7 linked regions of the Canis lupus familiaris genome follow. The protein of the gene in region 5 interacts with the protein of the main gene of each other region in a pairwise test. Links are inferred from orthologs where the notes say so. Each region holds a gene or a part of one and is shown on either strand. Other genes may lie near its edges. The genes, in order: DLGAP2, CCDC185, ZGPAT, ZNF202, KRT40, MXI1 and MTA1.

Evidence for each region.
Region 1: the proteins of KRT40 (region 5) and DLGAP2 interact in a two-hybrid assay, tested with the Homo sapiens proteins (2 studies listed by BioGRID). The link is inferred for Canis lupus familiaris from reciprocal best matches to the Homo sapiens genes KRT40 and DLGAP2.
Region 2: the proteins of KRT40 (region 5) and CCDC185 interact in binary tests that used the Homo sapiens proteins (3 or more experiments, as listed by UniProt). The two-hybrid records come from large-scale screens. The link is inferred for Canis lupus familiaris from reciprocal best matches to the Homo sapiens genes KRT40 and CCDC185.
Region 3: the proteins of KRT40 (region 5) and ZGPAT interact in binary tests that used the Homo sapiens proteins (3 or more experiments, as listed by UniProt). The two-hybrid records come from large-scale screens. The link is inferred for Canis lupus familiaris from reciprocal best matches to the Homo sapiens genes KRT40 and ZGPAT.
Region 4: the proteins of KRT40 (region 5) and ZNF202 interact in binary tests that used the Homo sapiens proteins (3 or more experiments, as listed by UniProt). The two-hybrid records come from large-scale screens. The link is inferred for Canis lupus familiaris from reciprocal best matches to the Homo sapiens genes KRT40 and ZNF202.
Region 6: the proteins of KRT40 (region 5) and MXI1 interact in binary tests that used the Homo sapiens proteins (3 or more experiments, as listed by UniProt). The two-hybrid records come from large-scale screens. The link is inferred for Canis lupus familiaris from reciprocal best matches to the Homo sapiens genes KRT40 and MXI1.
Region 7: the proteins of KRT40 (region 5) and MTA1 interact in binary tests that used the Homo sapiens proteins (3 or more experiments, as listed by UniProt). The two-hybrid records come from large-scale screens. The link is inferred for Canis lupus familiaris from reciprocal best matches to the Homo sapiens genes KRT40 and MTA1.

The regions. Positions count from the first base shown.
Region 1 is NC_049258.1:30,702,103-30,705,602, reverse strand, and holds part of DLGAP2 (disks large-associated protein 2), read right to left. Parts: coding exon 3,432-3,500; intron 1,901-3,431; coding exon 1,491-1,900; intron 1-1,490.
Region 2 is NC_049259.1:24,499,196-24,502,814, forward strand, and holds CCDC185 (coiled-coil domain-containing protein 185), read right to left. Parts: upstream 2,165-3,619; coding exon 614-2,164; 3' UTR 501-613; downstream 1-500.
Region 3 is NC_049245.1:48,110,382-48,113,881, reverse strand, and holds part of ZGPAT (zinc finger CCCH-type with G patch domain-containing protein), read right to left. Parts: intron 237-3,500; coding exon 103-236; intron 1-102. UniProt on the Homo sapiens protein: Transcription repressor that specifically binds the 5'-GGAG[GA]A[GA]A-3' consensus sequence. Represses transcription by recruiting the chromatin multiprotein complex NuRD to target promoters.
Region 4 is NC_049226.1:10,746,051-10,749,550, forward strand, and holds part of ZNF202 (zinc finger protein 202), read left to right. Parts: coding exon 1-361; intron 362-1,054; coding exon 1,055-1,265; intron 1,266-1,613; coding exon 1,614-1,702; intron 1,703-2,820; coding exon 2,821-2,950; intron 2,951-3,484; coding exon 3,485-3,500. UniProt on the Homo sapiens protein: Transcriptional repressor that binds to elements found predominantly in genes that participate in lipid metabolism.
Region 5 is NC_049230.1:21,662,831-21,666,413, forward strand, and holds the end of KRT40 (keratin, type I cytoskeletal 40), read left to right. Parts: exon of another isoform or gene 1-39; coding exon 40-201; intron 202-269; exon of another isoform or gene 270-280; coding exon 281-406; intron 407-557; exon of another isoform or gene 558-670; intron 671-1,737; coding exon 1,738-1,958; exon of another isoform or gene 1,959-2,076; intron 2,077-2,464; exon of another isoform or gene 2,465-2,504; coding exon 2,505-2,604; 3' UTR 2,605-3,083; downstream 3,084-3,583. UniProt on the Homo sapiens protein: May play a role in late hair differentiation.
Region 6 is NC_049249.1:21,816,743-21,820,242, reverse strand, and holds part of MXI1 (max-interacting protein 1), read right to left. Parts: exon of another isoform or gene 3,475-3,500; intron 3,286-3,474; exon of another isoform or gene 3,141-3,285; coding exon of another isoform or gene 3,068-3,140; intron 1,933-3,067; coding exon 1,800-1,932; intron 1-1,799. UniProt on the Homo sapiens protein: Transcriptional repressor. MXI1 binds with MAX to form a sequence-specific DNA-binding protein complex which recognizes the core sequence 5'-CAC[GA]TG-3'. MXI1 thus antagonizes MYC transcriptional activity by competing for MAX.
Region 7 is NC_049229.1:73,174,746-73,178,245, reverse strand, and holds part of MTA1 (metastasis-associated protein MTA1), read right to left. Parts: coding exon 3,458-3,500; intron 3,366-3,457; coding exon 3,176-3,365; intron 3,054-3,175; coding exon 2,964-3,053; intron 1,918-2,963; coding exon 1,765-1,917; intron 1,612-1,764; coding exon 1,576-1,611; intron 1-1,575. UniProt on the Homo sapiens protein: Transcriptional coregulator which can act as both a transcriptional corepressor and coactivator. Acts as a component of the histone deacetylase NuRD complex which participates in the remodeling of chromatin.

The sequences.
Region 1 (3,500 bases), on a different chromosome or scaffold from region 5:
TATCAGAACGGTGAGTCACCACCCCACTAAATGTACCCTAAACAGATAATAAATTTGGACAAATGCATGTGGACAGTCTGAGACACCCATCGGCCACAGCCCGCTGGGGAGCAGGTTCAAATTCTTCGCCACGGCAATGGCCCCTCCAAACCACTCAGGGTCTAATATCTACCCAGGTAAACAACGTGTGGAATTTGATGATTAAGAGAGAAATGTGGGGAAAGATAATTAGTAATTTAAAGGCAATTTCTCTCTTCATAGGTTAGCACCGTAAGTCCTAACAGCTAGAGAGCAACACACCAATTAGTTTCCTAATTTATGGATCCTGCAGCCTTTTACTCCGTAAGCTATGTAAAGCCCATGTAAACTCATCTCTGTGTTTCCATTTGTAGGATGACTGACACGTTGTTCTATCACAGCAGCCATCTCGACACATAATGTCAGGGCACAATTCCCAAGGATGTCACCTATCCTCTTGAAATGGATAATTTAGGGGCATCTTGGGGGCTCAGCGGTTGAGCGTCTGCCTTTGGCTCAGGGCGTGACCCCGGGGTCCCAGGATCGAGTCCCGCATCGGGCTCCCTGCATGGAGCCTGCTTCTCCCTCTACCTGTGTCTCTGCCTCTCTCTGGGTCTCTCATGAATAAATAGATGAAATCTTAAAAAAAAAAAAAAAGAAATGGAGAATTCATAGCAACCTAGCAAATATACAAAGGAATTCACAGAAAAAAAGAAAAAATACTTTAAAGGGAGCAAGATCTGTTAGGTCAAGACATTCAGAGCCAGACGCGCTGTAGCAGATCTGCCCTGTGGGCCCCAGGTTGGGGCGTCACAGGGATTCCCGCTCAGCATGGGGCCAGGAGGGCCGGAGCAATCTCTGCTCATCTCCAACCTCTCCCTGGCATAAAGCCAACTCAGGGGCACCTGGGTGGGTCCGTCAGGTAAGTCCAACTCTTGGTTTGGGCTCAGGTTGTGATCCCAGGGTCCTGGGATTGAGCCCCCTAGTGGGCTCCCTGCTCAGTGTGGAGTCTGCTTCTCCCTCTCCCTCTGCTCCTCCCCAGCTCACATAGGCCCTCTCTCGAATCAATAAATCAATCAAACTTTAAAAAAATAAAACCAACTCAATTCCTTGTACACATGGGACAGTAAAGGTTCTAGAAACCCGTGGAAACACTCCACGTCAAGTCACTGCCAGAATTCAGGAGAATGGGTACGTGGGGAGAGGTACAGGACCCACCGAGCCACAGTCAGCGCCTGTCAGGCTCATGAGCTAATAAACCCCCAAAGGATCCCTGTGGACGCTTTGGCAGTTGCTTTTCTGTTCACTTACTTATCTGTTTTCTGGGAGTTGAGTGGGATGCGGTGGGAAGCACGTTTGTTTTAATCAACCCAAGAATCAGAGGTGGCTTCTCCCACTCACACTGCCATTTGCCCGTTTGCTCTACTGACCCAGGACCCGTGTCATACGCCGAGGGGAGGCTGTGCTCTTACTTTCCTCTGAGAGGTCATTCTCCTCTGCCTCTCGCTCCATGTCCTTACACCAGCCTTCCATCCTCTTCGTCTCTGTGTGCAGCAGCTTCACAAACCATGAGCCATCCCTCCGGCACGGGGACATCCTGCCGGTTTCCGCTGTCTCCATGGACGGCTCCAGCCAGGGGTCTGCAGGGGGCAGGGTGGCAGTGTCCACGGGGGTCCTGTAGTCTTCTCTGTAACTGAAGAGCCCCTGGGTCCGAACAGTTCTTACTGCCCCGTACTGGGTGGGCGTGCTGGGCTCCGAGTGCCGCTGGAAGGAGGGACCAAACTGCAGCCCTTTGTCCTCGGTGCTCACGGGGAAGCCCTCCAGCTCCAGGTCTGCTTGCACGGCGGCTGTCACGCTGTTTGAACGCTTGAAACGTCCGTGTCTGCGGAGGAGAGACGGAAAAGGAATGGAACTTTCTGAGCTGACTTTGTGCAGCAAACCCTCCCCGAGCTCACACGCGATACTCCTGCGCTGCCCCAAACAAATAACTCAAGGGAAAGAGGAAACTTTTCATCTTTTTACTACAATTTTGGTGTTTCAGCCATGAAAGAACATTGGGTTTTGCAAATGATTAACCTCTGACATCTACCTAAGTCTCAAGGCCTAAAAAATGCCCACTTAACCTCAAGCGCATCGCAGGAGGCCATAGGGGTGACGTACTCCAGGAAACCCCTGCCTCGCACAGTTACTGCCCTTTACAAATACACTGCAAGTTCACAAAACTTCCCTGTGTTGCATCCAGGTAACAGGAAGGCTGTGTTGCTCCTTTTATGTAAATGGCTTCCGTACCCTACTGAGTTTCAGTGACACATTTCAGGGCATGAGTCTCTTCTCCTATTGGAATAACTTCATATCATCCCCATTAAGTCTCTTGTGCAAAATAAGGAATCCAAATTCCAGCTTTAGCAGGTGTTTTAAAAACATTTCCATCCCGTGTATTGGAAGGCCACCCGTTCCCACACAGTTACTGAAGTGATGGGCAGGAAAAGGCTTATAATTGGAGTCCGGATATCACTGGGTGAGAACTGTATGTGTGGGGTGGGGGCGGGGGCATCCAAATGAACCTGAAGTATACATTTTGGCTTCTCACCAACTGAACCCTCATCTGGCAACAGCTGTGTGTGCAGCTGGTTAATGAGTCTGCCACTTAGTGTCTTTGCTGGAGGCAAGGAAAGGGAGAAGAAGCTGGTGATGGCGACGGAGGCCAGCAAGCCCAGGTCCCCATGCAGAAGCCGTCTGCATCCTAAGTGGTCTACAGGGAACCTGGGAAGCCATTAGTTTCTGGTCTGAATTTCTCTGCAATCAAAATCTTTATTGGCTGGGTCCTAAAACCCTCCACGATGAGCTATGTCACCCGGGGCTTTGCCAACTAGACGCTAACTGAAGTTGCAGATGTAACGGTGCTCTCATTAAAATTAGTTATTTATGAAATTTACAAGATATATCTTTTAAATATAAAATAATCACCCTGTCCTTGTGACAAAGATAACATTACTGTAATAGGCACCCCTGTATGTTTTGGTTTGAAATCATGCTGTAGCTAAGGTTTTCACTTTCTTTCTTCTCTTTCATTCACTTTTAACATCATCAGGTAAGGAGACTCATCTGATTCACCCTCAAGCCCATCTGTTCCTCCTTTGGATGAAGAACTTTGGCTTTCAGGGCTGTCAGCAACTCTGCTTTCATAAGTGGTAAATTATGTTGGAAATAATTATTCCCCTGCTTCTTGCAAAAACAAGACGCAGGTGGATGTTAATTCATAATTGTACGATAAGTTGAAAAGTATAAATATATGACCCTGTTTCCACAAGACATGAATTATTGATGGTCAGCATGATCTAGATATTTGCAATCAGGTTCTAACGGATCGCTCCTGCTTGGGAACATTGTCTATTTTGAAGGGGCTGAGTTACCGCTTCTCGTCTTCCACTTGGATGCCAACAGAGTGGTATTCCCGCAAGCCTCGGCTCTCTGTGTCAGAA
Region 2 (3,619 bases), on a different chromosome or scaffold from region 5:
TTTGTGACAACCACTAGGTTTCACCATTAATTTCTTTACTGCAGGCCTTTTCAGAGCCTTTAAAACCTTCAGGTGCATTAGAAACAGCTAAGAGGGCACGTGGTGTGCAGGGTTCCCAGACCACTTGTTTGCAGAGAGCCTCCCACTCACCCACTCACACAATCTCTTCTTTCTTGGAGGTTTCCTGTGACTTCACACCTCACGTCACAGTGATTATTTTACTTTCCGTCCCTCAGAGCATCCGTTCCCAATACCAGTTATAATGTGTGAGTTCTGGGATGGCCAAAGACTTAGGACCTGGATCTGAATCCCCTCCTGTGGATTCTTCTCTAGTTCCTCAAGGAGGGGCCTGATGTGCGCTTCTAAGGTTACCGGACAGCGAAATGAGTATTTTCTATTTAAATTGAAACTTAGGAAGGCAAGGCCTTTTCTTAAAATCCCGGCGTGTGTACCCCCAGCCCTCCCAAGTCCCGGCATGAATCAACGAGCGAGTTCAGGAGTGGAAAGTGCAGGTATTTTATATATTTTCTGAAACCTGTGCTGGTGGCGACCCGGTTCTGCAGGGCGTAGAGGTGCCCGCCTCTGCCTCGCCCCGGCGCCGGGCGCCCCGCTCTCAGCACCTCTGCGGCCCTGCCCCGTGCGGGCCCTTGAGCGGCCTCTGCTCCAGGAGGCTGGTGGCCAGCGCGCGGGCCTGGTCCCTCCTCGAGGCCCAGGACAGCTTCTGGAACTCCTGGAAGGCGGCGTCGCTCTCCCGGGAGATCTGCTCCAGCCTCTGCTCCTTCCTCCTGACGGCCTCCTTGATGCCCTCCATGATGCCCTCCACGTGGCCCTTCTCCTCCTTCTTGGCTGTCAGCCTCAGGATGTGACGGAGCTCCTCCCGCGGGACGCTCAGCTCGGGGTTGTGCTGCCCCTTGTCCCTGGCGCTCCTGTGCTCCGGACTCCTGGGCGGCCACCTCTCCAGCTCGGCCAGCTGGGCCAGCAGCTGCTGGTGCGCCCGCGTCTGCACCTCGGTGGCCCCTGCGTGCGGCTGTACCTGCCTGAGCTGCTCCTGCGGCCTCTGTGGCCTCTGTGGCCCGGTCCTCGGCTCGTGCTGGCTGTCGAGGGGCTGCGGGCAGCTCTGCTCCAGGGACAGCTTCCTCAGCAGCTCCTCGGCCTTGGCCTGGCAGTCCAGGAGGACCCTCCGCGCCTGGTGGTTGACCAGCGAGCTGAGGCTGGTCTCCCAGGCCCTGGCCTGGGTCTCTGGTGCCGGCAGCTTCCCCGGACAGGCCTGCATCCCGACCTGCGGCCCATCCTGCTCCCGCGGGCCCTGCACCGCCCCGGGGGGCTCCTGCAGTGGCGGCTCGGGGCCCTGCGTCCGGGGTGCGGGCTGCGCCTCCGAGGCGGGGGCTTCCCCGGGGTGTCCGGACCTGGCGCTGCCCCTGGGCTGGCCGTCCGGCCCGCGGCCCCGCGGCTCCTGCTGCGGCCACTGGGCCGGGCTCTCCGGGCTCTCCGGGCTCTCCTGCAGCAGCCGCCCGCGCTGGCGGCCCAGGGTCGCCTGCACCCTGTGGCCCGAGCACTGGAGCTCCTCCGGGGCCGCCTGCCGCTGCAGCTCCCGCATGCGCCGGGCCCTCTGCAGCCGCGCCAGCACCCCCGCCGCCCTCTGGTCCCCGGGCCGCGCCGCGGCCTCTTGCAGCGGGTCCTGCCGGCTCTGCGCGCTCGGGGGGTCTGCGCGGGGCCCCGCGGCCGGGCCGGGCCGGCTGCCCTGGGACCCCCGCGGCTCGCAGGCGGCCCTCCCGCAGGCGCACGGGCAGGCGCACGGCGGCCGGACCCCCCAGGCCGCCACGGAGGGCTCGTCCGGGAGCCCCGAGGCCCGGGACCAGCGCCCCGCGCCCCCCGCGCGCCCCGCCCACAGGTCCCCGCTCTGCGCCCGCTGCGCCCCGAGGCTCCCGGCGGGCGGGGGCAGGGGCGGGGGCGGGTCTCCCGTGGCCGGGGAGGGCTGCGGGGGCCCCCGGGGCTGCGGGCGGGGCGCGGGCGGGGGCCGGGGCCTCCTGGCGCGGGCGGGGACCCTCGCGGCCACGTGGGTCAGGCTGTGGCTCTCCAGGGGCGAGTCGGGGCACCCCGCTTCCCGAGGGGACCCCCGCAGGGGCGAGCGCGGGGAGCAGCGGCCCAGGCCCAGGCCCTCCATGCTGCGCCCCTGTGCGCCCCGCGGGCCGCGGCCCCTCCCGAGCCCCACCCGGGCCTGTGACGCGGCGGCCACTTCACAAAGGGGGGCCTGGCCTCGGGGCTGCGGGAGGGGGGGCTGCGGGGGATGGGGGAGGGGGAGGGGCTGGCCTCGGGGAGTGCGGGCGGAGGGGAGGGAGGGGGCTGTGGGTGGGGGAGGGAGGGCCGAGGGTGGGGGAGGGGAGGGGGAGGGGGCTGCGGGTGGGGGAGGGGGGCCTGGCCTTCCGGGGCTGGGGAGGGGAGCGGGGCTTGGGGGCTGCGGGGGGGGGGGGGGGGGTGTGAGGGTGGGAGGGCCTGGCCTTCGTGGGTTGCCGGGGGAGAGGGCTGGCCTTCGAGGTCTGCGGGGAGGGGGCCTGGCCTTCAGGGGCTGCTCCGCGGGGTGCCGGGTACTGGGGGGGCACAGGTGCACCTGGAAGGAGCTGGCTGGAGGCAGACCGCAGCGCGGACTGCGGGCATGGTGGGGGGCACGGGCCGGGCCACGCCTCCGAGGTTTGCAGAGCTCCAGGCTTGCCTCCTGCGCTGGAGCAAGCCCACCCCTGTGTGTTTTGTTTGCCTGTTTTCAACTGAAGTTAATATAGGGGTCTGCAGAAGTTTCTGCAGATTTCCTAACTCAAGAAAAGAATGAAAAAAAAAAAAAAAGAATGGAATTAGGGCAGTTCTAAAGCAGGCTCCATGCGGAGCATCTCGGGGTGTCCTGCTGTCTGGGGGTGCAGTGGGGAGGCCTGTCTGGGCCTCAGTCTCCGGGTACGGCCACCTGCAGAGGAGCGGGATGAGCAGGGGTCCTGCTGTCCCCTTCACCCGCATCTCCTGGCCACCTCGCATCAATCCCACCAGGCAGGGCCTATAGGATTGATAACAAGTCCTTAAGACAAACCTGAGACCCTGGAGGTCACCTGGCCCATGGCAGGGGTTTTCAGACTCACCCCTTTGTCCACGTCAACATGCGCCTCTCAGGACGTGCGCTTGGGGTTGGGGGTGCTGTGTCCCTGACCTGGGAGCCCACCGCCCTCGGGCCCCACTAGTGGATCAAGGCCCAAACACCCCGTGGGTTGGTCCTTGGGGGCCGGCCTTTGCGAGGTGCGTAGGGTCCTTTGCAGGATGAGGGTGAGGCCCCATGCTGGCATCAGTGTCCGCCCTGCTGGTCACGCCTCCACGAGGAGGATGGGGCTTGGGGTCCCCTGTGTGGGCCCAGGTGTCCGTGCGGCGTGACCCGATCGGGCCTGTATTTCGGGACTCAGCCGGCAGCAGTATGGACGGTCAATCGGGGAGAAAGGCCGGGGAGGAGATCTGTGCAGTAATCCGGTGGGGGGTCGGTAAGCCTGACGGTGGCCGGGGGACAGGAGGCGGTGGACAGGCCTGGCCCCGGGGCCGGGGGTGGTTCCGCCTGGAGAGGCCATGATGCACTTCGGGGAGGGGCCCT
Region 3 (3,500 bases), on a different chromosome or scaffold from region 5:
AAGGAAGGTAGGGCCCAGGTCAAGGGTGGTCTCGCTCCTCTTGGGCATGGAACAGGGCTCTCCAGGAGGGGCCCCGGCTGAGAGGCCCGTGGGCAGCCTCACCAGTTATCCGAGCGGGGTACCAGAGGCCATCCTGCTGCTTGGCCAGACATGCAGAGCCAGCCTGTAGGGAGCTCAGGTCCGGGTCCTGGAAGGGGCGCAGCTCATCCACAGAGACCACCTGCCCATGGGAGAACCTGCCAAGACAGCCGCAGGGAGCAGGGGCTCAGACACAGCGCACTGGGGCAAGTGAACCCAGGAGAACCCAGTCCACCTGCCTGGGCATCAGCCCAAAGGGAGGGAGACACGGCGGACAAACGGACACACGCGCATACACACCCACCCACGTATACACATACATGGGGGCATGCACACGTATACCCCTGCACACAAACAGGCACGTATGTCCACGTGTGCACACTCTCTCATTCTTGGGATGGGCCTGGCTACCCTGGGGATGAGATGCCTCGCATTACCCTCCAGCTCTCCGGGCTAGAGTAACAATGTGGTGGGCAGACAACCATGTGACGAAAGCTCCCCATCGCCTCTCCACCAGAAGGGAGCCCCCCGGCACAAACAGATCGTCGAGGCGGGTGTGTTTGTGCGTGTGCGCTTATGGGACCGAGTCCTTCCCAAATCAAGTAGGAGAACACAGCTGTAACAGTGATGCCTTGATCTTTAGATGTCAGTGAACCAGTGAGATTAAAACCAAAACCGAGAGAGGAGGGGAGGGGAGAAGAGGAGGCAAAGAAAGAGGAAGAAATGTGGGGACAAAGAATGACAAGCTCAACTCTGCCAAATAAAGGCATAAAAGACTAACCACATATCCCCTCTACCGTGCCAGCCTTTCAAAGAGGAAACCGTTTTAACCCTACGAGAGCAACGAGGGTCTGGCATTTCCTGGGTGACGTAGAGCTGACGCTGGCCCTGGCAAGCCCTTCCAGGCGGGACGTGGTGGTGATAATGGGAACGCCAAGGAAGGGCTTCGGTCCTCTCCTATGGGTGGACAAAGATGGCCTCAGACACCTCCCCTGGCAAGATTCTGGGCAGTTTGTTCTCACACCTGATGGTCCTCAGGCCCTCAGGACACTGCCAACGACCAAGTAGGAGCCCAAGTAGTTGCATCAGCAACTCCAAGACTGGGCTCCAAATGCGGTGGTGACTCTGGTTGAAAATCCTCGTTCAGCCAAGGAGGAAGACAATGGGTCCAAAAGGGGGGGGGGGGGCTACACCCAGGACTGAGTTCAACCAAATACCCACTTCAGCACACGCCCCCAGACACATGCCTCCAGAACCACCAATTAACATTTCTCTGCAGGAATATCCAGTGATAATAGAAGCCTGAAAATCTGGTATCCTTCTGAACCCAGGAAAACACACCTAAGAACTGATTCTAGAAAAATAATAATGAAAGTATGCAAAAATTTGCCCCAAAGGATGGTAACTAAATTCAAAAGACTTGGAAATAACCTAAGTTTCCAACCACGGGGAATAGTTAAAGGCATATCCATAAAATGAACTTAAAACTAAAACGAACAGGCAAAGCGATCAATAGAATGAGCAAGAGCACCTGGGAAGAGTAACACACACATGAAAAACCTCACATGTGATGGAGGAAATTCTACACACCGGTCAGGAAAGGATGGACTGCTGGTTCCATAAGGAAAAGATTAGAAACTGGTTTCCCGTATTGAAAAACCAACTCAGGGACGCCTGGGTGGCTCAGCGGTTGAGCATCTGCCTTCAGCCGGGGGCGTGATCCTGGAGTCCTGGGATCGAGTCCCACAGTGGGCTTCCTGCATGGAGCCTGTTTCTCCCTCTGCCTCTCTCTCTCTGTGTATCTTTCATGAATAAATAAAATCTTTAAAAAAAAAAAAAAAAAGAAAAACCAACTCACTGGATGCCTGGGTGGCCCAGGGGTTGAGTGTCTGCCTTCAGCTCAGGTCATGACCCCAGGGTCCCAGGATCGAGTCCCACATCAGGCTCCCTGCAGGAGCCTGCTTCTCCCTCTGCCTATGTCTCTGTGTCTCTCATGAATAAATAAATAAAATCTTCAAAAAAAAAAAAAAAAAGGACAAACCAACTCAGTCACCTACCTCACAACAGTCATGGATGGAAATAATACACTCTAGAATAAAACTAGAATGTGAAAACAAGCACTTAGAACTATATTCTGAGTTCCAGCTGTGGCCAAGTAGAGAAAAACAGGGAAACTAAGCAAAATGGTCCAAACTCACAGCATCAGAACTCTGGAAATGGAATGAAACAGACAACACACTGGTTAGTCATTATTTGTGAAAAACTGTCCAACTTCAGCCCCAGTGGCCCAGCGGTTTAGCGCCACCTGCAGCCCAGGGCGTGATCCTGGAGACCCGAGATCAAGTCCCACGTTGAGCTCCTTGCATAGAGCCTGCTTCTCCCTCTGCCTGTGTCTCTGCCTTGGTCTCTCTGTCTCTCATGAATAAATAAAATTAAAAAAAAAAAAAAAACTGCCCAACTTTGGGACAGAATGGGAGGTGGGAATGTCTGTGGCTTCACAGTGGGGGACATGCCCCGCGTGCCCGCGAGGAGCAGTATGGCAGGGGTGAGACCAGGGATGAGACCTGGGAAAACCATCAGCCCTGAGGCCGTGAGCCCAGCTCAGTGGTCACTTACGATTCACAGGGATACCCAGAAAATGGAACGACCATAGAAGGGCTCCACCCCCCCAAACACCCTGGTTCTCCAGGAAACAAGGTGCACCAGTCAGGACTCCGGCCAGCGTCACGTGAACGGAGATGGGGGCTGCTGAACATGGAATGTGTCCCCCGGCCCACACACACTGACTGATGGGGAGAAGCCTTGAGGGCAAGAGTGGCTGCAAATAACCTCTGCCTACATCACTGCCTGGCCACGAAGCCACACGGACACAGAAGGGACCCCTAAAAAGCCAGGTCAAAAAGTAAATATAAATTTAAGGATCTAAGCAGATATATCAGAAGCTGCGCACTATGAGGGGGGACAGACTTCGTAATCCAGGTCCAGAAAATATATTAAAAGAAAACAAAATACTAAAGAAAACGATTCAAATCCCAGAGCTGCTACAAGACATTACCTGAAATGTACCATTTTCAATAAAAACTCACCAGGCACACAAACAGTAAAGTGGGACCCATATTTAGGAGAAAAAAGCAGTGAATGGAATCTGACTCAGTGGGTCCAAGTGCCAAAATCTGCCATGACCTCAAAGCAGATTGTGGTAAGTTCAAAGAACTAAATGAAAATGTGACAATGATTCAAGAAATAATAAATCTTAAAACATAAATAGAAAATATATAAAAAGAAAAAAAAGAAAATACGTAAAAACAAGACAACAGACGTGAAAAGTCAATAACTGAAATGAGAAACTCACTAGCTGGGACACTGCTGGTCTCCAGCCTGGTGTGTAGGAAGCTGGGAAGTTACCCCTTTGCTGTAACCAA
Region 4 (3,500 bases), on a different chromosome or scaffold from region 5:
AGAAGAGGGAATTCTGATGGTGAAATTGGAAGATGATTTCACCTGTAGGCCAGAGTCTGTCTTACAGAGAGATGACCCTGTGCTTGAGACCTCACACCAGAACTTCCGGCGTTTTCGCTACCAGGAAGCATCAAGCCCCCGAGAAGCTCTCATTCGACTGCGAGAACTTTGTCATCAGTGGCTGAGGCCAGAAAGACGGACAAAGGAGCAGATCCTAGAGCTGCTTGTGCTGGAACAATTCCTTACTGTCTTGCCTGGAGAACTGCAGAGCTGGGTGCGGGGCCAACGGCCAGAGAGTGGCGAGGAGGCAGTGACGCTGGTGGAGGGTTTGCAGAAACAACCCAGGAGACCAAGGCGGTGGGTGAGGAGGGGGAGTCCTGATCTGTGTGACGTGGAGGGGGACTATTTGCTGGAAGGATGGATTTGGGGGTAGAGCATACAGAGTCCCCATCATTTACCCTTTAAAACTAAGTGGCTCTGCTCTTGGGTTGCCCCTAGATCCATTAGGGGCAGGGATGTGTGTGTGTGTGTGTCTGTGTGTGTGAGTGAGTGAGTGTGACTTTCTGGTTTTTTAAACACCTGCCAAGGACCATCTTAGGGCCCTTAGCACTCTAGGGTCATATGGCTTTGGTTTTCCTTTCTTTGGCTATCGAACCTCCAGTTCCTGGGGAGGCCAATTTTGTGACTTCCTCAAAGGTTCTAGACTCTTGGGCACAAATCCCCCTCCCAGGACAATATGACAGGGAAGCAAACCACAAGGAGAGCTACAGGTGGGAGAGGTGGACATGGGAGGGACCGGTATCTCAGAGCCATGGGTGATAGGAGTAGGCTGAGGGGAGTGAGGAAGCCGTGAAGCATCTAAACGTCCCTGCCTTGTCCTAATGAGGATAACCATCAACAATTCTTGCATGCCTCCATGGAACCAGAGACTCCCATCCTCTCCTGGGATCCTCTGAGAGTGTTTCTGTTGGTAGCTTTCCCTAAAATAAGCCCTGTTGTCAACTGAGACTTTCCTCTTGACTCCATGCTGACTGGAAATTGGAATTATTCCCAGGTGACTGTCCATGTTCATGGCCAGGAGGTCCTGTCGGAGGAGACCATACATCCAGGAGCAGACCCCGAGTCACCTTGCGAGCTGCAGAACCCTGTGCATACCTTGCCTCCTGAGGCGTCCCGTGAGGAGACCATCCAGAGCCCAGATCTGAGGCCACCAGAAGAGCAGAGCCTATGCCATGAATTGGAGTTCCAGCCCCTGCGGGAGAGCGGTGGGAAGCCTCAACAGAAAGGGGGCAAAGTGGCAGGCAGAGTGTGGGAATGGGGATGTTTCCCGCCTATGAAGGAGGCTAGGTGGAGCAGAGTGGGAATAAATCATAGAATTCAGGGTGTTGAGACAATAGTAGCTAGAGTTCCCCCAGAAACTGGGCCAAGGTCAAGGAGCCAACCAATCCTTGGGTGTCCTCTTGGCATTTCAGTAGAGTTCCAGATGGTGACATTGGGATGACTTGAGCTGCCCTTAGACCAGTTTCTTGATTCCTACCAAAGAGGATGGGAGCTGTTTGCCAGTTACAGGGGTGCGCTGCACATCACTCATCTCTGCCGCCTTTTCTTCGTAGAGGTTCCAGTGTCCCAGGACCCAGACCTTCCTGAAGAGAGGAATGCCGGAAACCCAGAGATGGTTGCCCTTCTTACAGCTCTTTCACAGGTGTGCTCTAGTTTCTGTCCATGTCTGTGCCACAGAGAATTCGAAGAACCACCAGGCATTAGCTGTACACTGAACAGGTCGGATAGGACACATATTTCTACTCTGCTTTTGCCAACTTAGGTTCTCAGTTCTAGACGTGTCTGCATCCAATGGGAGGAATTACAACAGTCTCAGTTGGATCTGCAGGCTCCGGAGCCTCTATTTGCACCAGAGAAGGAAAATGAACAAAATGGGATTCTTTTATTTATATGTTTATTTTTATTTATTCATGAGAGAGACAGAGGCAGAGACATAAGCAGAAGGAGAAGCAGGCTCCCTGCGGGGAGCCCGATGTGGCACTCGATTTCAGGGACCAGGGATCACGACCTGAGCCAAAGGCAGACGCTCAACTGCTGAGCCACGCAGTTGCCCAAAGGGGTTCTTCTACGGGGTTCTTCTACGACACTGCACTACAACCCAGAAGTTGCCGAATGAGGGCTTGTTTTTGTTTTATGGTAGTGAACTTGATAGTCATTTGTAAGAATGGCTGTCTGCTGCAGAAATGACTTCTGGAACTGTGTGGTGTCCACTGGCAGGGACTGCACTCAGGCCTTGCCACGTAGGAAGCTCTCACCATGGTCAGGGCCCCAACACTAAACTGAGACTGGAGAGGAAAGGAATAGAACACATCTGTGGTTTTGGGTTATAGTCTCGCTATGGCAGAAGGGCCTGTGTGTGCTGTGCCGACCGTGTAGGTGACGGGGGTGGCTGGAGGTCAGTTAGGGAGAGCTCTCCAGAAAAGGTGAATTTTTGCACAAATGTAGGTGGCATCAAAGCATCAAATAGGGAGTTAATGAGGACTTTTAAGACTTTTCTTATATATTTTAACCAATATGCTCAAGAAGAAGAGCAGAGGCTGGCCCTGAGAGAAAGCAGTGGAACTGAGAGGTCCAGAGGAGGAAGTTGGAAATGGAAAAGTAGGAAGTCGGGGAGCAGTAGCCAAGGGTGCAGCAGGTTTCCCAAAAGGCCCCCAGGGTCCTGTGTGTGCTCCTTTTGTCTTCTGGAGTAACCTTCATTCCATGAATGAACTAGGAGCTTCAGGAAGCATCCTGTTACAACTGAAGTCTGTGTCGTTTCAGGGATTGGTAACTTTCAAGGACGTGGCTGTGTGCTTCTCCCAGGACCAGTGGAGCGATCTGGATCCAGCACAGAAAGAGTTCTATGGAGAATATGTCTTGGAAGAAGACTGTGGAATTGTGGTCTCTTTGTGTAAGGAATTTCAAGTGTTTCTAGAGTGTTCTGAGCCCAGAGGTCTTTCTCCTATTGGAAATTGTGGGAGTCTTAGACCTTAGACTGTATGCACCACGCTTCTCTTATGCCTGCCCCACCAGTGAGATTGAAGGATTAGCTAAGGAAGACAATATCTTTCCAAGTTAAAGGGAAGAGATGCCTAGAAAGTGGTTGGAAACTTCTAATAAAGTGAAGTTATGTTACAGCTTTAGTGTATTTGAGGTAGCATGTGAGTTTTGAAACAAGCAATAGAGGTTGAGAGGTTGAGGATGATCTGCTTGCTTGAATATGGGAAAAGAGGGAGTATTAGCAGTCCTTGATTATTGAGTTGCAGACGAAGGGCAAGAAATATGCAGGATTTGGTGAGAGGTGCTCAAGCTAAAAAGACCAGATTTGATCCACTGACCAGGCTGTCCATTTGTTCTATACAGTCTACCCGACAGCAAAGATCTGCTCTTAACTCAGGGAATTGCTGAACCAATCATAATGTCCCGCTTTCCCTCTCTTGAGCAGCATTTCCAATCCCCAG
Region 5 (3,583 bases):
ACCACTCTGTGACTTTCTTTACTCCATTTCCTCTTTCAGGAGGTTGACTTGCTTCGTGGACAGTTGGGTGACCGACTCAGTGTAGAGCTGGACACTGCCCCCACCATCGACCTCAACAGGGTCCTGGAAGAGATGCGTTGTCAGTATGAAACCGTGCTGGCCAACAACCGTAGAGACGTGGAAGAATGGTTTGCTGTTCAGGTCAGTACCCAGAGCAAGAAAATGACAAGCTTCCAGACTTCTGCCTTATTTGCATCCTCTAATCATACCTGGTTTACAGACAGAGGAGCTGAATCAGCAGCAGCTGTGCAGCGCAGAGCAGCTGCAAGACTGCCAGACAGAGATCCTGGAACTGAAACGCACAGCCAATGCTCTGGAAATTGAGCTCCAAGCACAGCAAAGCCTGGTATGTAAGGGAAAGACAGCTCTGTTTTTGTCACTGAAGAATTAAGCCCTGAGATGCTAGTCCCTCTTCCATGAACCCAAGGAGAGATCCACAGTTCATGTGGCAGAAAGTCTGAATTTCCAATATGCAAGGATTGTATTCTTTGACTTACCCAAATACTGCTGTTTACTGAGCTAGAAGCAGAAGTGATAGGTCAACAGTCTGTACTGTCCCAACAGGATTCCCTGACCTTCCCTCCTGGGCTTGAGCATGATCCTGCAGCACCTTCCAGAGACAGAAAAAGAACAGGAGGGCAGGAGCAGAATGAGAGTGGAACCTCTGAGCTGAAGGCACTGAAGCATTCCAGTGGGTTTTAATTGTGCTTTGATTTGGGCCAACTTCTCAAACTCAGCATCATATAAAAGAATAATATTCAAACTTTGCATTCTTCCACTACCCTAAGCTTTTCCAGGATCCACACCTCAACTGGACCCTTCACTCCACCCCATTTCACCCAGCAATGAAAATACTATGCACTGGGGAGCCTGGCTGGCTCAGTCAGAGGAGCATGTGACTCTTGATCTCAGGATCATGAGTTCAAGCCCCATGCTGGGCATAGAGGTTATTTTAAAAAAAAATTTTTTTAAAAAGGATACCATGCATTGAAGATCACATTAGCCAGTTCCAGTCAGACACCACTGTCTGTGCCACATTGGGGCCTATAGAGACTATCTGGGTGAATAATAGCTACATATTTATCTTGTGAGAGGCTTAAACGCCTCATAATAACTTGATGGGATAAATCCTTTTACTAAACCCATTATCAGATGAGGAAGACTGAGACTCAGATTAAGTAGCAGGGGTCATGCAGTTGTTTTTTTTTTTTTTTTTTTTTTTTTCATGCAGTTGTTAAGAGGCAAAAGTGGAAGCTGGATCCAGCTGGTTCAATCCCAGAGCCTCTTCTCTGAACCATTCTATATGGCTCTTTCCTGCCCCAAGTCCATACTCAACTTCTCCCCTCAAATGCTGTTGATCTTCCTTAATATATATTACAGGTTGTGATGGGCAAGTGGTGATAGTAATAACTAACCCTTGCACAGTTTTGAAATTTTTTCCAGGCACTGTTCACAGTGTTTTACACATATTAATTCATTCAATCCGCACAACCATCCTATGAAATAAGTACTTTGCATTGGTCATTTTTTATAAAATAAAACAGCCTCAGAGAAGCTAAGTAATTTTCCCAAAGTCACATAGATGCACTAGGGTAGATCAAGGATTTGAAAACCAGCACTCTGGCCCCAAGGACTATGCTACACAGCCCTTCTGAATATACTCTTTTTCTTCTGCAGACAGAGTCTCTGGAATGCACTGTGGCAGAGACGGAGGCCCAGTATAGCACCCAGCTGGCCCAGATGCAGTGCCTGATTGATAACGTGGAGAACCAGCTGGCTGAGATCCGCTGTGACCTGGAGCGGCAGAACCAGGAGTATGAGGTGCTGCTGGACACAAAGGCTCTGCTGGAGGGTGAGATCAACACATACCGAGGTCTCCTTGAGAGTGAAGACAGCAGGCAAGTTCCACACGATTATTCTCAAAATCCCCCAAGTCACAAAGAAGCTCATGCAAGAGAATCTTGCCTCCTCAAGGTCTGCCCAAGGTGAAACCTCCCTCATGTGTTAAATGATCTCCTTACAAGAGTAAAAAGACAAACAAAACAAAACAACAACAACAAAAAAAACAGCTGAGGCTAATCACATGACAGTAGAAGTATTCAAAAGTATTCCAAAGTTCTAAAGCAGAATAAGTATCACATACAAAATTTCATGCTGGGCGTCCCCCTTTGTTCCTGACTTCCACCAAAGAGAAATCAGGAACATGCATAAGATAACATTTGCAAAGTGAAATAAATACACAAAACTGTGTATTCAACTGGCACAGGGGCAGTGAGCATTCCTAGTGGCAATGCTGAATCTAGGCCTGAAATAGGCTTAGGTCAAATGCTACTCTGCAAAGAGTGTTCAGAACATCATTTGCAGGGCAAATTTTGGCACGATCTTTTCTGAGTTGAAATTTTACCTGGATTTCCCTTGTTAAGCTTACTTCAAAATTTCCACAGGCTTCCTTGTAACCCGTGTTCTACAATAAGCACATCAAGCAACACTTGTGAGGCATGCTCAGCGTATCTGATTTGCACGGTCGAAAACTACTGTGCATGAATGTTCAACCCTCGGCGCAGTGGATAGAGGAGTCAAAGCCAGCAGTGTCCTGGAAAGGAGATGGGACTTCAATCAGATGCATCCAAATCTAAAAGTCAAGAAGGGGTTTCTACCCTAAATTTGTCCTCTAAACATCCCCATTATATTTCTGCTTTGTCATTTCCTCTCCTGCCTGCTTATTAGTGATATTCTAGGAGTCTATAAAGCTTTCTTGCTAATCTCCAAATAAAATATGTTTCATTCCTTTAGCATGGTAAATATAGCTTTGTGGCTTATAACTGTGGATATAAGAACCATGTGATGCCTAAACCCATGTCGATAGTTTGATTTTGCACAAACCGAGGCTGAAAATAGTTTTTAACTCCTCAAATACAAAAGTTTAACTAATCCATGCAAAATGTCATACATCTTGGAAGACAGTTGTATGTATCTTTCTAAGAGGAAATTTAAGAATAAATGTCTTATTTGTAATTATAAAAGTACAGGATTCCATTTTTTTCTCAATTTGGCACATGAAAGGGGAAAAAATTAGTTACAATTCCACCCCCAAACACCCGTTATCAGTATTTTGGGAGCTTCCAGCTTTCTTTCATATAATAGGTTTTTCCACATAATGGAAATCATATTTACATATGCACATAGTTGAGTAAACTACTTTTTTCACTATGTCATGTAAGCATTTTCAATCCAAATAAACCTATAAGATTGTCCTGTGACTGTTATTTTAGTGGCTACATAAAATACCATAAGGTTATTGGCCTGTTATTGGACATTTGGGGTATAAGAATAATTATTCATACACATTTAAAAAGCAAAGTGGAGAACTCCACCTCCAAAAAAATGAAATGGATGTACATTTCCTCATTCCTCTTCCTAAGTCTGGCTGAAAACCAGGGAAATTACATATAAAAGAAATATAAGCAGATTCTGAAAGGTGGAAGAAGCCAAACCAACTAGAATCATATTCAAGGAACAGCAA
Region 6 (3,500 bases), on a different chromosome or scaffold from region 5:
TCCTTCATTTTATAGATGAGATGAAGGACAAAGAAAATGTAGTAAGATTATTTATCTGATTTCTACAAAATAGGAAAGACTCAGTAAATACTTGTAGCGTGACAAAACCCAGGTCTGGTTTTCCATCTTTGCGTGCCTCTAAATTAAAAAAAAAAAAAAAAAGCCTTTTTAAATCTACATGTGGACTGAAAAAGCCATGAATTCTTGAGATATAGATTCTAACTGCTGACACCTTAACCAGAGAAACTGTGAAGAACGAGAAAATTTATATTTACTTCTTTAAATACTGCAGATTGTATTACATATTTTCATCCTAAACCTATCATACCATAAAAAATCCTCTAGACCCACACATAAACATAAATGCAGCATATTAAGCTTATAACTATTTTTATAATTTTAAAAATTAAACTTAAAAAACACGAACAGTCCTAACAAAGAAACCAAAAAAAGGAAACACATGGCTTTAAAGATTAGTCAAAAAGGGACGAGTGAATCCTAGTTTTGCCTCAGCAATATCAAAAATGCAGAGTGGGAAGATCCAACCTTTGGAGCTCTAATTATTATCTGTAGAAGCCTCAAATTTCCTGCAAATATTAGTAAGAGCCCCTAGTCCTGCTCTCTCCCAACCTGTTTCCCCAAGTGACTCCCCAGTGACCTGCCTGGAGTTTCCCAAACACTTCAGGTGACCTTAGTTACCCAGAGATTGCTCTGTGCCTCTCCAAAATAAATGCTCACATTCTCTAAATAAAGCTTTGGGAATCAAGAAAAACGCTTCATTGAATTCCTCCTCATCAATGGAAAAAGCAAAAATCAGCAGCATCTGTTGATTTTTAAGATGGCCTTCTGAGAACTTCCTACGAGTTGAAGCCTTAGAATTCTCTGGCCCCCTGGGATAAAATACTGAAAAGACAGCCAGACACTACCAAAAGTTCTCAAAAAATAGAAGTTTTCAACAATGCCTGAGTACATCCATTTTCTAGGGATCTCTTTGGCCTAAAAAATAAGCGTCTTTCTTTTTCTGTGTGTGTGTGTGTGTGTTTTAAAGCTCCTTTACCAACTCAATCTTATCAAATAAGAGACAACTTTTCCTAGCATGGTCTTCCTTTTCACTCTTAAACAAATAGATTATGCCCACTAACTTCCTACTCTAACTAAATATTTTTATTCCTTTAACAAAACCCTTGATTCTGCTTTACATCCTGCCTGAGCTATTTCTGGTTTTCAAAAATTCTTCTTGGACTGTCCAAATTTAAAGCTGGCTCAATTACTTTTGGCATGTGGTTGCATGCATGGACACATGCTATCAAGTCTCTCAAGGTACTGACCCTCTCCAGTCACAGACTTCCCCACTTAATAACCCCCCAGCAAGGGATCCCTGGGTGGCACAGCGGTTTGGCGCCTGCCTTTGGCCCAGGGCGCGATCCTGGAGACCTGGGATCGAGTCCCACGTCGGGCTCCCGGTGCACGGAGCCTGCTTCTCCCTCTGCCTGTGTCTCTGCCTCTCTCTCTCTCTGACTATCATAAATAAATAAAAATTAAATAACCCCCAGCAAGAACTCTTTGGTTGCTTTCTGGATTCTACACCTTCCCTTCCACACAAAGCCAGGTTATGATATCTAGACTTGATGAATTTAATAGGGCCAAATGTCCAGGGATGGTGGTAAAGGAACTCGGCTGGCTATTCAGCATTGCTCCAGACTCCATATTAGAGGACTGAGGTCGGTAGCCCCTGCACTTTTGCGTGTGTGTGTGGTCCCTCCCTCAGCAGCCTTTTCTAAACCTCCCCAGCTTGCTACCTGTTGGCAGTGCTGGTGTTGCTGCTCCCGGTGCTGTGTTTCTGTGCTCGGCTCAATCTCCTTGGGGGCTTTGAATGCTGCAGCCGGGGGCTCGGCATGGAGGGGAACGTTGAGGCATAGCCATGTTCACACTCTAAAGAGATAGCAAGAAAAAAAGACATGGTAACAGGAATATACCCAAATCCGTGGATCTACTGATCTAAAGTCATTGCAGCAATGTGTTGCAGAAAATAGCAGATAGAATGGAGGTCGTATTTTTCCACTTTTTGGCTGGAAGATAAAACTCTCAGTCCTTGCCAGGACATCGATCCTGTGACATTATATACAGACCCAACCCCATTACCTGAAAGGTGTACAGATACTTCCTCTAAACCTCTAAGAAATATCTCCATCCTCTCCAAAACCCTTTTCTCCATGAATTCTTGACTGAAATACACTAATTTCTGAGGCTAGCTACCATCCACCTCAATTACTTCACCGGCCTCAAAATCCCCCTTTAACTTACTCTCCCCATCCTAGGTCTCTCGCCAAGGTCCCCATTTTCACCTACTTCAAACCATCCAACTGCCTCCTCTCGGACGACATTTTCTCCCCTGACACCGTAATTTCCAGAGTTCCTACTCTCCGCTCCCCAGCCTCTTCACGTCTCTTCCAGGCTCCGTTTCTCAGAGGTCCCTTCCCCAGAGGTGTGCATCCTCCTCCCCGCGGGCTCCTCAGCAGGCACTGCCCCCTCTGCTCCCGGCCTCGGCTGCTCTCCCCTACCTGCGCCGCCGCCACCCCGTGCCTTCAGTTCTCTCTTCCCTCTCTCCTCCCAAGTCCTCGGGCTGGCGCCCACTCTTAACACCCGCTTCCCTGGGCTCGGCCCCCCTCCCCCCTCCCAGTCCTCCCGGCTCACGCGCGCCAACCCGCCCGCACAGGCCCGCGCGGCCTCCCCCGCACCCCGCCCCTCGCAGGCTCCGGGCGCCCTCACGCGCGCTCCCTCCTCACACCCCCCTCCTCGCGTCCGCACCCCTCACACACACACCCGCCTCCTCACGCACGCACCTGTCGCACGCGCACCGCTCCTCACACACGCACCCTCCCTCCCCTCACACACGCCTCCTTGCACGCGCGCCTCCCCTCACACGCGCCCTCCACACACACTCCTCACGCACCCCTGCTCTCACACACGCACCCGCCCTCCCCTCACGCGGCGCACCGCACTCCTGGCGCCGACGAGGACTGCGCGGGCTCAGGTGGCGGCGGAGGCAGCGGCGCCCGGCCGTTACCTCGGTCCCGGCGCTCCAAAAACTCGGCCGCCTCAAGCAGGCGCTGCACGTTGATCATCCGCACCCGCTCCATGGGCACCGCTGGTGGCGACCGGGGCCTCTCCGCGCTCCCTCTCCTGACCGACAGGAGGCGCCGCAGGCGGCTACAGGCCGGCGCCGCCCCGGGACATGTGCGGCGGGCGGGCGGGCCAGCCCGGCCGCGGCTCGGCGCGCTCTCCGCCGCCCCCGCCGCCCCCGCCGGCCCCCCCGCGCCCGCCGCGCCCGCCGCCGCCGCCGGCAGCCCGCGCGCGGTTTGTTTACCTCTCCGCGCGAGCACGGGGGAGGGGCGGGCGCAGCACCGAGGCCCGCCCCGTCCCGCCCCTTCCTGTGCCTCCTGGGAAATGTAGTCCCGCCCCTCCCACAGCACACCGGGAGTGGTAGTACGCACGCCACC
Region 7 (3,500 bases), on a different chromosome or scaffold from region 5:
AGGCCCCAAGGGTGCCAGGGTCCGGGCCGGCCCAGAGCTCAGCTCCTGCCCGCGGGCTGCCCGGGGGCGCCTCAGGAGGCCAGCTGCCGCTGCTTGCAGGGCTTGTGGGTGGCGCCAGGGCTCCTGGGGGAGGCGCCCAGCAACGGCGCCCTTGGGACCCTCATGCTTGGACCCGAGCAGATGCGCAAACATGTCACTTTGGACAAACCGATAGAAGCAAATTAACTTTATCCACCTCGCTCGTTAATGGCTTTTTGCAAACAAAGCCCCAAAGCACAGCAAAGATACCTGCTAACTAGCACCAGGGCCCGTGGCAGGCCCTGTGGGGGGCTGACCATGGGGGGCTGACCGTGGGGGGCTGGCGGCCAGGAGGCAGGAGCCCCCACGGAGGGGCTCACGAAGAGAGACAGCCGGGCACCGGGGGCCTAGGGCAGGCCAGGGGGCAGGGCCCAGGGCAAGGCGAGGCCAGATGGCCACTGCCTGCTGCCCCTCGCAGGTCCCCATGCCTGGCCCACTCCTTGGCAGCAGCTCCCCAGCCCTGTGTGAGCAGGAACTCTGGGCACGTCTGTGCTCGCTGGCCCGCACCATGACCCCGAGCCTCTGTCAGCAGGGCCTCTGACCTGCTTCCCCTGTCCCTGCCTCCCTTCCACACGGATCCCGCTGCGGGCGGACGCTGGGGGGCCAGAGCCTCCGGGGCCCACAGGCCCCTCGCTGCCACCACGGCCACCCCTCTTAGCACCTCACTGTGGCGCGGTCTCAGAGCCCGTGGATGCCCCTCGCCCAGCTGAGGGGGCAAAGCCAGGCCCTGAGCCACTGGGGCAGTGACTGTGCACTGGCCTGGACGATCAGGAGGCCCGCTCCCGAAGCGCCAACCACCGGGGCACTGGGTGGCGGCAGGGTCCCATGGCCCCTGCTCCCCCCCGCCAGCCTCCCCCCTTCCCCTGGGCGTCCGGCCCCACTCGGAGCGTGCTGCCTCTGCTCTGGGACACCTGGCCCCGCGTGCCTCCCCGTCAGGCCCTGGCCTGGACATTCCCTTGGGCCTTGCGTGCCTCCCCCAGCCCTGCCGGCCAGGCCCACAGCTCGGTCCTATCTGCCCCCACCAGAGAGGCCGGGGTCCCAAAGCCCCCCCCCCCACGGCAGGGCGCACAGGAGGGTCGTAGGCACAGCGCGGGCAGCCGCGGGAGCAGAGGCTGACGGCATGCAGGCGGTCACAGCGCGACGGCAGACAGTACAGGCAGGCGGCGGGGGCACCAGGGCTACACGAGCAAGGACAGTCCACTGACCGGGCACTGGGCCGGGAAGGAGGGGACACCCCACGAGCCAGAGGCCCCGGGGAAGGAGACGGCGTTCGGGTGCGTGCGATGGGGGACCCGTGAGGCCGCACTTGGCTCTCTGCCCAGCGACAGGGGAACCGGGGGAGCGCGGGGAAGCAGGGTGCGGCCCGGCCCGCGTGGACTGGCCCCTGGGCGAGCCCTGAGCCGCCCGCCGTGCACCATGCACGCAAGGGTACAGCACACACAGGCAGCGCACGGGGGCTCGCGCAGCAACCCTGCCAGCGGCCGCCGCAGGCCTTACCCCTACTGGGCATCAAGAGGCGCTTCTTCATGTTGCCTGCCAGCGCCCGACGGCGGGAGAGAGAGGGAGAGAGAACACCATCAGCGGGCGCGGGCGAGGCAGCGACAGGGCCGGCCGGGCACCCCCAGGCCAGCAGGCCGCGCCGGCCCAGAGAGGAGGCCCCGCCTGGCCGCCCCGCCGGAGACTCACCGTCCACCCCGTTGTGCTGCTCATAGCTCCTCTTGCCCAGGATGGTGGGGGAGCCGTTGTTGATGACGGGGGCCGACTTGGCCGGGGTCAGGCCTCCGAGCACGCCAGACACGCTCTTCACGGGGTCGGGCTTGGGGGGGCGGGGGTGGGTCTCTGTTGGGAGCAACAGCGGGGGCTCACTGTGGCTAGGGAATGGCTCGAGCAGCCCCCGGGGCCCATCCCGATGGAGGTCGACCACGGGGCCGGCCGGGGGAGCACACCGCCGGCCCTGCCCATCAGGGTGTCCGAGGAGCGGGGAGAGCGAGGCAGGCCTGGGCCCCACAGATCACTGGGTGACTGCCAGCAGCTTCCAGGCTCCAGACACAGGCCCATAAACAAGCAGGCCCATCAGAGGTGTCTAGGTCCAGGCCACCGGAGCTGATGGCAGCAGGCTGGCCGCCGGCCAGGTGATGAATTAACTGCCAGGCTGGCCCAGCCAAGGCCACGCCCCCCCTCAGCGCCGGCCGGCCGCAGGCTCAGGCTCGGACCTGCCAAGCAACCCCCCCGGGCCCCGGTAGCTCTCAAGATGGGGCAAGGCCCAGCCCCCCGACCCAGACCCTAGACATCTGATGACGCCAAACCCACTTGTGTCCACGTGGAACGCGATTAGGTCATGGTTCTGGAATGTCCTTCACAGAAGGTCAGCCACCTCCACGCTGGAGGGACTGACTCACGATCCCGCCCTGAGCCCAGCACAGGGGCCAGCTCCCTCCTGCCCCCAAGCACCCTGGTGAGCCCCCAGGACAAGCCGCCCATGGCTGGCTGAGCAGTGGGCAAAGCCGAGCCCAGGGGTGCCAGCCGAGGACCCCCCCGTGGGCTGCAGACCAGGCATGTGTGCTGCTCACGCGGCAATGGGCCGTCCGCTTGGGCTGGGGGTGAAGAACCATCCTGCAGGTGTCTGCAGTGGATGCCCGAAGCCTGTCCTGAGTCCGTGCGGCCAAACCCTGGACCCCCCCCAGGCCCCCCTGGACCCCCCCAAGCCCCCACGCGCTGCAGCAATACAAAGCAATACAAATACAAATACGTGCCGGGGGCCACGGCAGCTCAGGCCCCAAGGGCCCCTCCAGGCCTGGCTCGGTGGCAGCACGGAGGCCGGCTCCCTCCCTTGCAGGCGCCCGCTGCCAGGCTGCCCACGCGGGGCTGGGGCGGGGCAGGCTTACCTAGGTACCGGAGCACAGCTTCCAGGGGCTTCCGCACGGCCTGCTTCAGCACCAGTGGGCTCTGGGAGGCTTCGGGCAGCCGGGCCGTGCCTGTGGGGGCCCGGCACACAGAAGGGAGCCCGGGGTCAGAACCCCCATACCCGCCAGCCGCCCCGCACACTGGTGAGCCCCTCCTCCGAGGACCGAGCCCGGGGCTGGGGGGCGGCACTCACACTCCGCCTTGATGGCCGCGCTGTTGATCGGCATGTAGGGGTGCCGGGCAGCGTGCCACGGGCGCAGGATCTCTCGGCACAGGCGCCGGGCGATGCGGGTGAGCTTGGTGGTGTGCAGATAGAAGGCCTGTCTCGTCTTCATGGCAAACTTGGGACTCCCGCTGCTCCGGGCTGGGATGCCGTGGGGGCTCTGCGGAAGGGGGCGCGCCGCCCCGACACAGCGCCATGACCGCGGGCCGGGCGCCCGGCCACGCGTGGGGGCGGGGAGGGGTGCCCACTTACCATGTTACTGCGGTTTGGTCCTGGCCTCTCTCCATCTAACCGG